Linked DNA regions of Oryctolagus cuniculus. The protein of the gene in region 2 purifies or fractionates together with the protein of the main gene of each other region. This does not show direct contact. Links are inferred from orthologs where the notes say so. Each region holds a gene or a part of one and is shown on either strand. Other genes may lie near its edges.

Region 1 (3,644 bases), about 140 Mb from region 2:
CCTCAAGCACGCCCTGGCGCCCGCCCCTCAAGCACGCCCTGGCTGCCCGCCCCTCAAGCGTGCCCTGGGCCCGCCCCTCAAGCGCGCCCTGGGCCCGCCCCTCAAGCACGCCCTGGGCCCGCCCCCGCCCCGCCCCCGCCCCGCCCACTCACGTGGATGTTGAGCTCCACGTTCTTCCACTGGCAGAATCGGGTGAACTTCTCACTGGAAGGGAAGCGCCCGGCTCAGGCAGGCTCAGAGAGGGCAGCGCAGCTCGGAGCTGGCGCAAGCCTGCCCCCGCCCCCTGCCCCTGCCGGGGGTCCCGTCGGGTGGGTGTGACAGCGCCCCACGCTTCAGCGTCCTCTTCCGGGGCCGCACAGCTGTGCTGTGGGCTCCTGCCGGGACCAGATAAGCTCAGGCGGCCGCCCACCCAAGACTTCCTGCCACCACGGCCTGCTCGGGGCCCACCCGCCCGTGCCTGCACCTCCGGCCAGAGCCCACTGAGCCGGGCAGATGCTGTGCCCTGCGTCCAGCTGGACTCCGCCTACACCCCCAGCACCCCAGCTCGGGGTGCTCCTCCGGATGCTCACAGCGCCCAGGCTGGCTCCGGCCCCGCCCTCCCATGCCAGCCCCCCACTCACCTCTCGATGAACTTCCGGAACACATCCCCTCGGAGGTTTTGGCAAATCTCTTCGATGTAGGGCTACGGGAGGGGCTGGGGTTGGTGACTGCCCCTCGGGATTGGGGGGGCAGGCCCAGCCCCGCCCCCGGAGTCCAGCACACACCTGGAAGAGGTCCGGAGGCACCTGCTTCTTCACCAGGTGGCCCTGGACGTGCTCGGTGGCACTCTTGGAGAAGGGCTGGGGGGACAGAGGCGGCCGTGAGCCCTCGCAGGGCCTCGCCCTCCCTCGCCCACCCGCGGGCCGGCCGGGGCCACTCACGTGCGAGCAGGCCAGCAGCTCCTTCATGATGTACGAGTCAAAGATCTCCCGGCTGCGGGCCACGCGCTCCTCCTCCGTCTCCAGCTTCTCATACTTCCTGATCTGGGGGTGGGGGGGTCTCGTGAGTCCCCCGGGGCGGCCCCGCCCCCTCCCCGGGCAGGCCCACCGCACCTCCTCGTAGAACTCCACCAAGGGCCTGGCCTCCTCCAGATGGTTCAGGCAGAAGTCTCGGAACAGCAGGTACCCTGGAAGCGAGCGCGTGGGGTGCCAGTGAGCCACAGCGCTGCTGCAGACGGCGTGGGGGGGCCCCCTGGATCAAAGTGGCCAAGGGGACAGCAGAGGCGGTGCCGCCACCCTGAAGGCCCCTGGACTCCAGGCTGGGCGGGGCCCCGTGCTTGCACAGGGGCAGGCGGCAGGCCTGGGCCCCGCCCCCCATGCAGTCCAGCAGCCTGACCACCCACGGCGAGGCTGGGGTGTGCAGGTACAGAGGCCGAGGTCCCGTCTGGGGGCCTGAGCCAAGTCAGGCTGCGCCCCTCTCCCCGACCTCGCTCCCTCTGTCATCGGGGTCATCCTCACGGCAGCCCAGAGGAACAGGCAGTGAGGGCAGGTTGGGTAAACTGAGGCACAGGGAGCCCTGTCAATCACAAGGCACGTGCCGAGGTGACCGGCGGCTGGTCACCGGGAAGGACAGGCCAAAGGGTGATGGTCTCTGTGCCAGGGGCATGGGAGGGTGAAGGGACAGGATGGGCCGCAGGAGGTCCTGGACAGGACGTCCTCACCCCCCCCCCCCCCCCCCGCGCAGGCCCCTGAGCAGCTGCCCGGGACAGGCAGGGCTGAGGGCAGCCCCGCCCCCTCAGGGGCATCCGGCCCACAGGGCGACTCGGTTTGTGCTGGGGACTTCCTGTGCCTCTGGGGGCCGTGGCCGGTGCCGTCCACACCCTCCACCGCCTGGGCACCTCCATCAGGACTTGTGGCCAGCATTTCTGGCAAGGGCAGCCGGGCCTTTCAGTGGAGCCCTGGGGTAAGCTGTGGCCGGCTTCCTGGAACGGCTGACACCACCTGATCCGACCCCGGGTCCTTGGCAGTGGGGGGGGGGGGGGCTGAGTCCCATTCCCAGGGGATGTCATCATCGGGCTCAGAGAGGTGAAGCGCCGTGCCCAGGGTCACACAGCACGGGACTGGGAACTCGAGGGAGTGCCCCCGACCCCGCCAGCTGCCCTCCACACTCCATCCTGCCCAGGACCCCCGGTTCAGAGCCGGGGTCTTCGGGGAGAGGCCAGGGCGGAGCTGTGCCAGGCTGGAGCCGCAGCCCCGAGGGCGGCCGCACAATGCTCCCCAGACCCGCACAGGCCCCGGGGAGGAAGCCGGCGGCAGCCGGGCCAAGGCAGGGTGCTGCGAGGGCCCGTGGGGGCGGGGCGGGCTGGCCACAGCGGCAGGCCCACAGGAAGGGCCCCGCCTCTTCCTGCCAGTCCTACCAACCGCCCAGAGCAGCTGCGGCCGCGCCAGGGGAAGCTGCAACTCTCAAAAACAAAAACCTCAAGGAGGAACTTCCCCGGCGACCCTGGAGGACGGCCGGGCCCCACCCCCACCACGGGGCTCCGCGGACACAGGCACGAGGGGTCACAGCCCGCCACAGGGCTGCCTGGCTGTGGGGATGCTCCCAGCCCCGGCCGCAGGGGTCTGGGCTGCGGCACTCACCCAGCTTCTGGGAGAAGATCTTCTCAAACGTCACCTCGCCCCGGTCCTCCAAGTACTTCTGCATGACACTGCGGATGCTGCGGGCAGAGGGGCACGGTGGGCGGGGCCCAAAGCACAGCCAGCGGGGGTCGGGGTGGGGCGGGGGGCTCCGCGGGAGCCTGAGCCTGCACGCCAGGGCTCCGGCCCCAAAGGCCAGGGTGGCCAGCAGGTGGCCTCCCGCTGCCACGCGCTGGCTTTGGGAACTCGGCCAGGCCTCACGCACCAGGGGACAGGCAGGCACACGTGGTGGCTGCCCCCCCAAGGGTCCCGCGCCGGCACAGGCCGGCACACGCATGGACAGAGCCTGGAAGCGTGATGCGGCCGCCGGAGCAGGCAAGCCCGGGGACGGTGGACAGCAGCTTCGTGGTGGCCGGGCTGCGGGGTGGGGGCGCGATCGCCACAGGGGCAGGGCTCCATCCGGGGTGCGTTTGTACAGAGACCCCCCAGCTGCACGCGGCAGGTGCTGAGTGTCCTGTCTTACGAATTATACCGCAACTTAGGGAGAAGCACTTAACCATTACAGAAAAGCCAAGCCTCAGCCGGAGCGTCTCTCACGCCAGGAGCTGGCCTTGCAGCGCAGCGGGTAAAGCCGCCGCCTGGGCCGGCTCCGCGGCTCACTAGGCTAATCCTCCGCCTTGCGGCGCCGGCACACCAGGTTCTAGTCCCGGTCGGGGTGCCAGATTCTGTCCCGGTTGCCCCTCTTCCAGGCCAGCTCTCTGCTGTGGCCAGGGAGTGCAGTGGAGGATGGCCCAAGTGCTTGGGCCCTGCACCCCATGGGAGACCAGGAAAAGCACCTGGCTCCTGGCTCCTGCTATCGGATCAGCGCGGTGCGCCGGCCGCAGCGCGCTGGCCGCGGCGGCCATTGGAGGGTGAACCAACGGCAAAGGAAGACCTTTCTCTCTCTCTCTCTCACTGTCCACTCTGCCTATCAAAAAAAAAAAAAAAAAAAAAAGCCGCCGCCTGGCATCCCCTGAGGGCGCAGGCTCA
Region 2 (3,644 bases):
TGCACACAGCCGCACTGAACAGATGTCATTTTATGACCCACAGTCTTTTTTTTTCCCCTTCTGTTTTTGAAAAAAAATAAACAGGAGAGGAGAAACAACCGCTCCCTCCCCCCAGACCCCTAAAAGGGAGGCCTGGCCTGTTTTCTTCTCCATAAAAGAATTTTCATCACTTCCTGATTTCCCTGGTCCTTTCTGAATCCCAAGGGCAGCTCACGCACAGAGAGCCCCTGACGATCCCATGAGTGGTTTTGCATTCCCACTCTACAGATGAGGAAACTGAGGCCAGAAAGGTGAGGTTCTGAAATGTCGGAGCTGGGCTTAAACCAGGCAGGCCGATGCCAGGGCTGGCACAAACTGCTCAGTGCCCCGGATGCACCGTGGTGCCCAAGAAGCACTCACTGACGACATGTACAAGCTTAACAAAGTTAACTCAGGCACCCACAACATCCGGGGCCAGAGGGTCCCCAGAATCCAAGGGCTGTTTTAAGGCATTTTCCAAGACTTTTGGGACACCACGGACTTGTCATAGAAAGGAAGAAAGACCAGAGCTGGATAGGGCAACCCTGCAGGCGACTTGGTCAAAACTCATTACCAACACGCTTCACTGCAGGTTCCAAGATGACCAAGAGCGAGCTCTCGACTTTACGCCAACATCCAGGACCTTGCAGGGTTATTTTCACATTTTCTGATCAGCGACAAGAAAGCTCAAGGGACAACAGGCTGACCTAGGTGCATGCACTGAGCCTGGACCCAGAACGAGAGGTGACCGTGGGCTGCCAGCAAAAGACTGCGATTCTACTCAGTTTACTGCAAAACCTTATAACCACAGCTGGAGCGTCTCTCATTATAAATAATGTGTACTAAAAACTAGTTTCTGGCATACAGTTCTGGCTTAAGGAATTATCCCAATTGTCCATTTTTTTTTTTTTCAAATGTAGGATCCTAAAGAGAAAATGTTCCTCCAAATTCCATTTGTGAAATTCAATGAGAAATATAAATGAATGGCATTTGCACAGGTGTACAGCATGGCTTTCTCCCTCTAACATCTTCTCATTTGCATGCATGGTCCAAGATGTCACACAGGTTATTTCTATGAGTGAACTCAAACACTGCTATGATGTTGATCAAGACCAATGAGGTGACACGGTTTGAATGGTGATTCCACTAAAAAAACCAAAGAGGCTTCCATCACTGAACCACCACTGGAAATCGTCTGGCAGGGAAGCTGACTCCAGGCTAATTTCTTCCTGGGAGGAAATGTTCACAGACCAAGCCAACCACGCAAGAAGCCTAAAGGATGGGTAAGCAGCCAAGGGCCCCCGGATCTGATCTGGGTGTAGGGAGTCCTGAGCACACAGGTCCAGTTGCTCCACTTAACAATCTAAACGTGATTCAAATGCATCTGAAAAAAATAAAAGGATTTTCAAGCCCAATCGCCACGTTGTTGGACTTGGGCCGCCAAGGGCCGGCTCTGGTGCTTGGGACTGGCGTCACCCAGCAGGTCTTTGTCACTGGTGGCACATTACTTGCATGATTTGGTCAATGAAATGAAAACCAAGGAATCTCTGGTTCTTTCCTGACTCATGACCCAAAAGCCATTGCTTTCAAAACTAAGTGTAAAAAAGTTAACACTTGGAACACATTCAAGTCAGTCTGATGAGCAGGCTGCGTGACGATAATCACGGCACACAATATTCTCTTCACCTTCCACCACACATCAGCCAAATCTGGCATGTACATTTGGAAAAAAAATCCTAGGAACCTTAAGTAAAGGCCAGATACCATACTGAACCATTTTTGGTCAGACTCAACTTGTTTGCCACATCATGCAAGCTCACATGGAAACTGCTTAATCTTTACAATCAAATTGTGTATTGACTTAAGAAAGACCAAAAAAAAAAAAAAAAAAAAGGGCACTTAAATCTGTATTTAAACAAGGCTAATTAAGTGGGAAATTAAGACAATCATTTGGATAATCTCAGCCAAAAAAAATGTTGGGGCCATAATTATTTGGGTATTCCAGTAAAAGCATCATTGCTTGAACTGTGTGGATAATTATCCCAAGTCTCTCCTTCACCGTGCATGTGTCAACACAGAATAAATGAACAGATGTTCTTGGAATCACAGAACACGTTTGTGTTCAGTCAGCAGTCAGGAGCGGATTTAGACAATTCTGTTCTTCTCCAGTTGACTAGCATTTCCTAGAAACGTTTCTAAGAGCAAGATAAGAAGCCAAGAAAGGCATTTAGGACAGGATTTGATGATTTATGACCTAATGTGAAGTGTGATCAAGCATTTATCAATTGACTTCACTTGCCAAATCCAAGATGGTTAAAAGGAAGTTGAATGCACACGATGGGCTCTGGGGTGACTGATAATGCAGCCTCAGTGTAGGTTCCTGGATTGTGACAAATGCCCCTTCTGATGGAGGACTGCTTATGGCAGAGGGGGGCTGTGCATGGGACAGATGGAGAGCGCTCCTTGCACTCAGATTGTACTGTGCACCCAAAACTGCTCTAAAAATCTAGTCTGTTCAAATATAAATGAGGGGCTGGCTTTGTGCAGTGGGTTAAGCCACTGTCTGTGACGTCGGCATCCCATAGTGCAGCACCAGTTCCAGTCCTGGCTGCTCTGCTTCTGATCCAGCTCCCTGCTAATGTGCCTGGGAAGGCAGCAGAAGATGGCCCAAGTACTTGGACCCCTGCCATCCATGTAGGAGACCTGGATGGAGCTCTTGGCTCCTGGCTTTGGCCCGGCCCAGCTCAGACTGCTGTGGCCATTTGGGGAGTGAACCAGTGGATGGAAGACCTCTTTTTCTCTATCTCCATCAGTCTGCCATTCAAATAGATGTCACCAAACAGGCCACCAGCCCGAAGGACAAGAGCAACAGAAGTCATTTGGCTCCTTATTTTATAACATGATTGTCCCCCCTTTCCTAACATGTACCCACAAATTCTTACGGAAGTTCCTGGGTTCCAAGCAACACTTGGAAGTCTGTGAAAACGTGTCAGCGTGACACTATGACCCAACACTTTAGTAACAGGGACAAAAGGAGCAGACGGAAGCCCAACGCACAACAGAATGCGGGGCGCTGTGGATGATGGCCGAGAGGCCCCACCCCGGGCTGTGTCTTACCCTGCAGCCAGTCCCTGAAGTAATGCAGCCACATTTTGGGAAGCTGCTTGTTCTCCTCCAACATGATGTACTTCACGTTACTGAAGCTCTTGTGCAGGTCGTACAGCAAGTGCTGGATGTTCGGGTAGTCGGCCTTCTGCGTGACCACGTACATGTTGTAGAAAGAGAAGTATTTGAACTGCGCGGCGATGAAGTCGTACTCTCTGGTCTCCCGAGGGACGATGTCTGTGAGGTCCAGCCCGTCCCTCACTCGGGTGGTCCCGTACAGGCTGACCCCCAGCAGGCCCAGGAAAAGGAAGATCACCACGACCTGCAACACAGGGAAAGGCACGCGGTCAGACCCCACAGGACCAGCACCGAGTCTTCCTTGAAGAGGCCGGGGTGGGCTCCGCACGGACACGGATGCTTGCTGCAGGAGACGGGACCCCTGTGGAAGCTGAGCTCACTCACACGGCCCCAACCCCTCAATGCACTGCGTCTTTTGGGAGGCACGACGTCGTTGATCACGC
Region 3 (3,744 bases), on a different chromosome or scaffold from region 2:
ACCCACGTGGGAGACCCGGAGGAAGCTCCTGGCTCCTGGCTTCAGATCAGCACAGCTCCAGCCGTTGCGGCCATCTGGGGTGAACCAGCGGACGGAAGATCTCTCCCTGTCTCTACCTCTCTCTGTAACTTTCAAATAAATAAAATCTTTCTTATTTGTAAGCTTTCAAATAAATAAATCTTAAAAAAAATAGAAACAAAGAAATACTGCCTATATCCTGCTTGAATTACTATGGACTGTTGATAGAAAAACATCTTTAATAAAGCTAGCTGTTGTTTGGGAAAAAACAGTCCAGCAATACTGACCTCAAGCTGTCGCAGGTATGCATAGATATCCTTCACATACTCGCTACAAAGGTTTGGATCAGCCCCATCCTCTGCGTCCACATCACTCACTGCAAGAATCACGTCCGAGAACGCCTGACACAGATACTCCTCTGCAGGCGCACATGCGGACGTCTCCATCGGGCTTGGGGAGGGAGTATCAACCTGGAACAGAGACATGTCTTAAGCAACAGCAAAGAGGAGCACATGCCACGACTGGGAATGGAGATCAGACAACTGACGTATAATTCAGTTCCTTAATGGAAAAGTATCTTTCCAGATGTATTATATTTTTTAGGAAGTGATATCAAAAGTGAAACATCAACTTAGACTTAGCCAAGTTAAAGTCAGCAGAACATAAACACTAACAGGTGAAAGAGAAGCAAATAAATCGCGTCCTAGACTTTCCTCCAAAGGAAACGGTTAGGTAATGAACCTAACCGTTATATCACCATTATACGACACCTATGTATGTGAACCTACCACCATCATATGAAATCAATCCAAATAAAAGACATTGGTTTTGTATTGCTAAAAAACATGGACTGCTTCTCACTACTCAGAATACAAGTTCTGTCCTGACTACCAGAAATTAACTGATTTTCATTACTAGTTACCATTTCCTTCTAGCCATCTTTACCCCATTGTTCAAACACTTTCCAAGCGCATTTTTCAAGTCAGACTCTGTACTAAGCGTTGACTTAATGGCATCCCCAAAGGGCTTTGAGTTTAGTATAGACAAATAAGGTGACCGAGTCCAGGAACAGGAGTGGGGGTGGGGGAGGACAGGAAAAACTTCAGGAGCTGATGCTTGAGCTGTTTCGAGGGATGAAGGCAAAGGACGCCTGGACCGAGACTGGACATGTAGACGGCGGGCGTTTCCTGTGAAGACTGTGTGCATGTAAAGGCCGTGTGAGTCCGTGCCTGCCTGGTGCTCCGCACAGCCTGCTTCCTGGGACGCACTCACTACTTGCTACTGTCACTGTTTATTCAAATGCTATCCCAAGCAATCAACAGCCTCTAAACGGGTAGAATGCATTTACCAGAATCGGCTCAGGCGAGAGTTTTTCTTCTTTAACAGGCTCAGCTTCGGGCTCGGGCTCCGGCTCCGGCTCAGATGCCGGTACAGTCACCGTTTCCAAAGGTTTAGGGAGTTTTTTAGCAGGGATTTTCCCAGTAGGTAGAGTTTTGGCTTCCTGCAGACGAGAGAGAGAACGGATGCCCCTGCGCAGGCCAGGGCTGGGGGTGAGGGGTGGGGGGTGGGGGCGGGAGGCGGAGGGGCGGCTACCTTCTTCAGAGGCACTTTGGCCTGGAGCTGCTCGCTGACTTTGTTACCAATGTCTCCCAGGGCCGTTCTGGGCCTCAGCCCGGGCTTGCAGGCTGCAGCGGTGGCCACAGGCACACGCTTGGCGCCTGCCATGGTCATCTTCCCCTTGTTTTCCACGTTAATTTTCGTGTTCTGAAAGAGGCAAGTCAACCGCGGGATAATGAAGGTGGGCCACAAGAGAGGCGGCTCTTCGCAGGGCGGGGCACTGGGCACGGGTTCGAGCGGGGAACAAGGGCTCCAGGGTCCGGCCCACGGCCCCAGCAAGTCCGCTTCCTCCCAGAACCCCCTCGTTCGCCAACCCAGGGGCTTCCAATGAAGTGCCGGCCAGCCCCAAGACATCCGAATTTACATCTGAAAGGAAACCGAAAGGCCCCGCTCCGGGCTCCCCAGGGCCCTCTCTCCAGCCCCAAACCTCCCGGACCTCCGCGGCCCCCTGCCTCCCTCTGGGCCGGCCCCGGGCTCCCCACCACTCCCGGGGCGCCGGCCCGGCCCGCGCCAGGGCCCCCTGACGCCGAGCAGGCAAGCCGCCACTCACCCTGGTGACGCGGAGCGCCATGGCTTCCTCCTCGACAGGCGGCGGGCGGCGGGCACACGCAGCACACCGGAGGCCCCGACCCGTCGCGGACCAGAAGCCTCCACAAGCCAACAGCCGGCCGTTCCTGCGCAGCACGCCGGGAGGCGCCGGCCCCTGCTCAGGTTTAAACCCCGCTCCGCTCCTCCTCATTGGCCGGTTCGCGGCACTCGCTCCCTCCGCATTGGCGGGCGCCGGGGCCGGGAGAATGCGTTTCCAGGGCGACCGCGCGAGGACGTTCGAGAGGGGGCGGGCGCAGAGCGCGGCCGCGGCGGGCCCCTCCCGGCTCCCACGTGACCGGGCTGCGGCCCGCGGGCGCCCGGGGCAGCGGGGCAGCGGGGCAGCGGGGCGGGAGGGCGCGGCTGGGCTGCCGGAGCGGAGCCGCGGAGCCTTGGCCTTGAGCTGCGACGGGGGTCGGGGGAGGGCGGTGCGCGGTGCCCGCAGCGGGTGAAGCAGCTCCGGCTGCAGTCCAGCGTGGCGGTGCACGCGGTCTGCCTCCACGGTGGCAGCGGGGATTCCTTCGGGCTAACCACAGGCTTTCATGGCCGTGCGTGCCCTGAGGTGACCATTGCAGCGGCCCTCGGGGGTGGACGGCGCTGAAGCCCGGGGACCCGGCGACTTTCGCCGCGCGGGGCCGGAACTCAGGGGTGTTTGGGTGACCGTGGTTTGCTTTTGCCTTTCTTTGTGGAGCTGTGATTTTTTTTCTTCCCACGACTTTGTCTCTCAAGAATGCCCGCCTCGGGGCTGATGGGTCCAGCTGGAGAGGCCACCGCCCATCTCGCCTGCTGCCCAGGCTGGGCCAGCCCCGGGCCTGGGCCCTGCCACCCATGCGGGACACCAGGATGGAGTTCCCATACGGTTTTCCTTCAGACATTTGTGGAATGACCAGCAGGTGGAAGATAACTGCTGCCTCTCCCTCTCTGTGTGTGTCACTCTGCCTTTCAAATAAGTAAAAAAATGTGAAGAATGTCAACTTGCCATATTGCTTCTGATTAGTTGGTTTTTGAAAGCTTGCGTGGTTTCCCAAAGCCAGTCGCTTTGCTTTTTATTTGGAAAAAATATCCTATCCAACAGCTGTAAACACCCAATTATAAGGAACATCCCTGCACCCTTTACCCAGATTTAACTGTCATTAACATTTTTTTAAGATTTATTTATTTTATTTGAAAGGCAGAATTACAGACAGAGGCAGAAGCAGAGAGAGAGAGAGAGGTCTTCCATCCGCTGGTTCACTCCCCAGATGACTGCAATGGCCGGAGCTGCACTGATCTGAACCAGGAGCCAGGGACTTGGGCCATCTTCCACTGCTTTTCCAGGCACATTAGCAGGGAACTGGATCAGAAGTAGAGCAGCCAGGACGCGAACTGGCACCCAGATGGGATGCTGGAACTGCAGGTAGCAAGTGCTGGCCCCTTTGTTAGACCTTATCCCATATGCTTTGTCATGTGATCGGCTTCTCTGTGGTGCCAAAGAAAACAAACAGGTCCTTTTTGCTTTCTACCTCCCCAACCACACAGGACCTC

The links.
Region 1: the proteins of PTCH1 (region 2) and GRK2 purify together in Homo sapiens (affinity purification with western blotting; 3 studies listed by BioGRID and IntAct, with this or other methods). This does not show direct contact. The link is inferred for Oryctolagus cuniculus from reciprocal best matches to the Homo sapiens genes PTCH1 and GRK2.
Region 3: the proteins of PTCH1 (region 2) and CCNB1 purify together in Homo sapiens (affinity purification with western blotting; 3 studies listed by BioGRID and IntAct, with this or other methods). This does not show direct contact. The link is inferred for Oryctolagus cuniculus from reciprocal best matches to the Homo sapiens genes PTCH1 and CCNB1.

Annotation. Positions count from the first base shown.
Region 1 is NC_091432.1:4,741,615-4,745,258, forward strand, and holds part of GRK2 (beta-adrenergic receptor kinase 1), read right to left. Parts: intron 2,696-3,644; coding exon 2,619-2,695; intron 1,166-2,618; coding exon 1,092-1,165; intron 1,023-1,091; coding exon 921-1,022; intron 840-920; coding exon 765-839; intron 683-764; coding exon 621-682; intron 205-620; coding exon 153-204; intron 1-152. UniProt on the Homo sapiens protein: Specifically phosphorylates the agonist-occupied form of the beta-adrenergic and closely related receptors, probably inducing a desensitization of them. Key regulator of LPAR1 signaling.
Region 2 is NC_091432.1:142,102,855-142,106,498, reverse strand, and holds part of PTCH1 (protein patched homolog 1), read right to left. Parts: intron 3,446-3,644; coding exon 3,136-3,445; intron 1-3,135.
Region 3 is NC_091445.1:90,145,612-90,149,355, reverse strand, and holds the start of CCNB1 (G2/mitotic-specific cyclin-B1), read right to left. Parts: upstream 2,351-3,744; 5' UTR 2,207-2,350; coding exon 2,186-2,206; intron 1,783-2,185; coding exon 1,612-1,782; intron 1,520-1,611; coding exon 1,367-1,519; intron 489-1,366; coding exon 306-488; intron 1-305. UniProt on the Homo sapiens protein: Essential for the control of the cell cycle at the G2/M (mitosis) transition.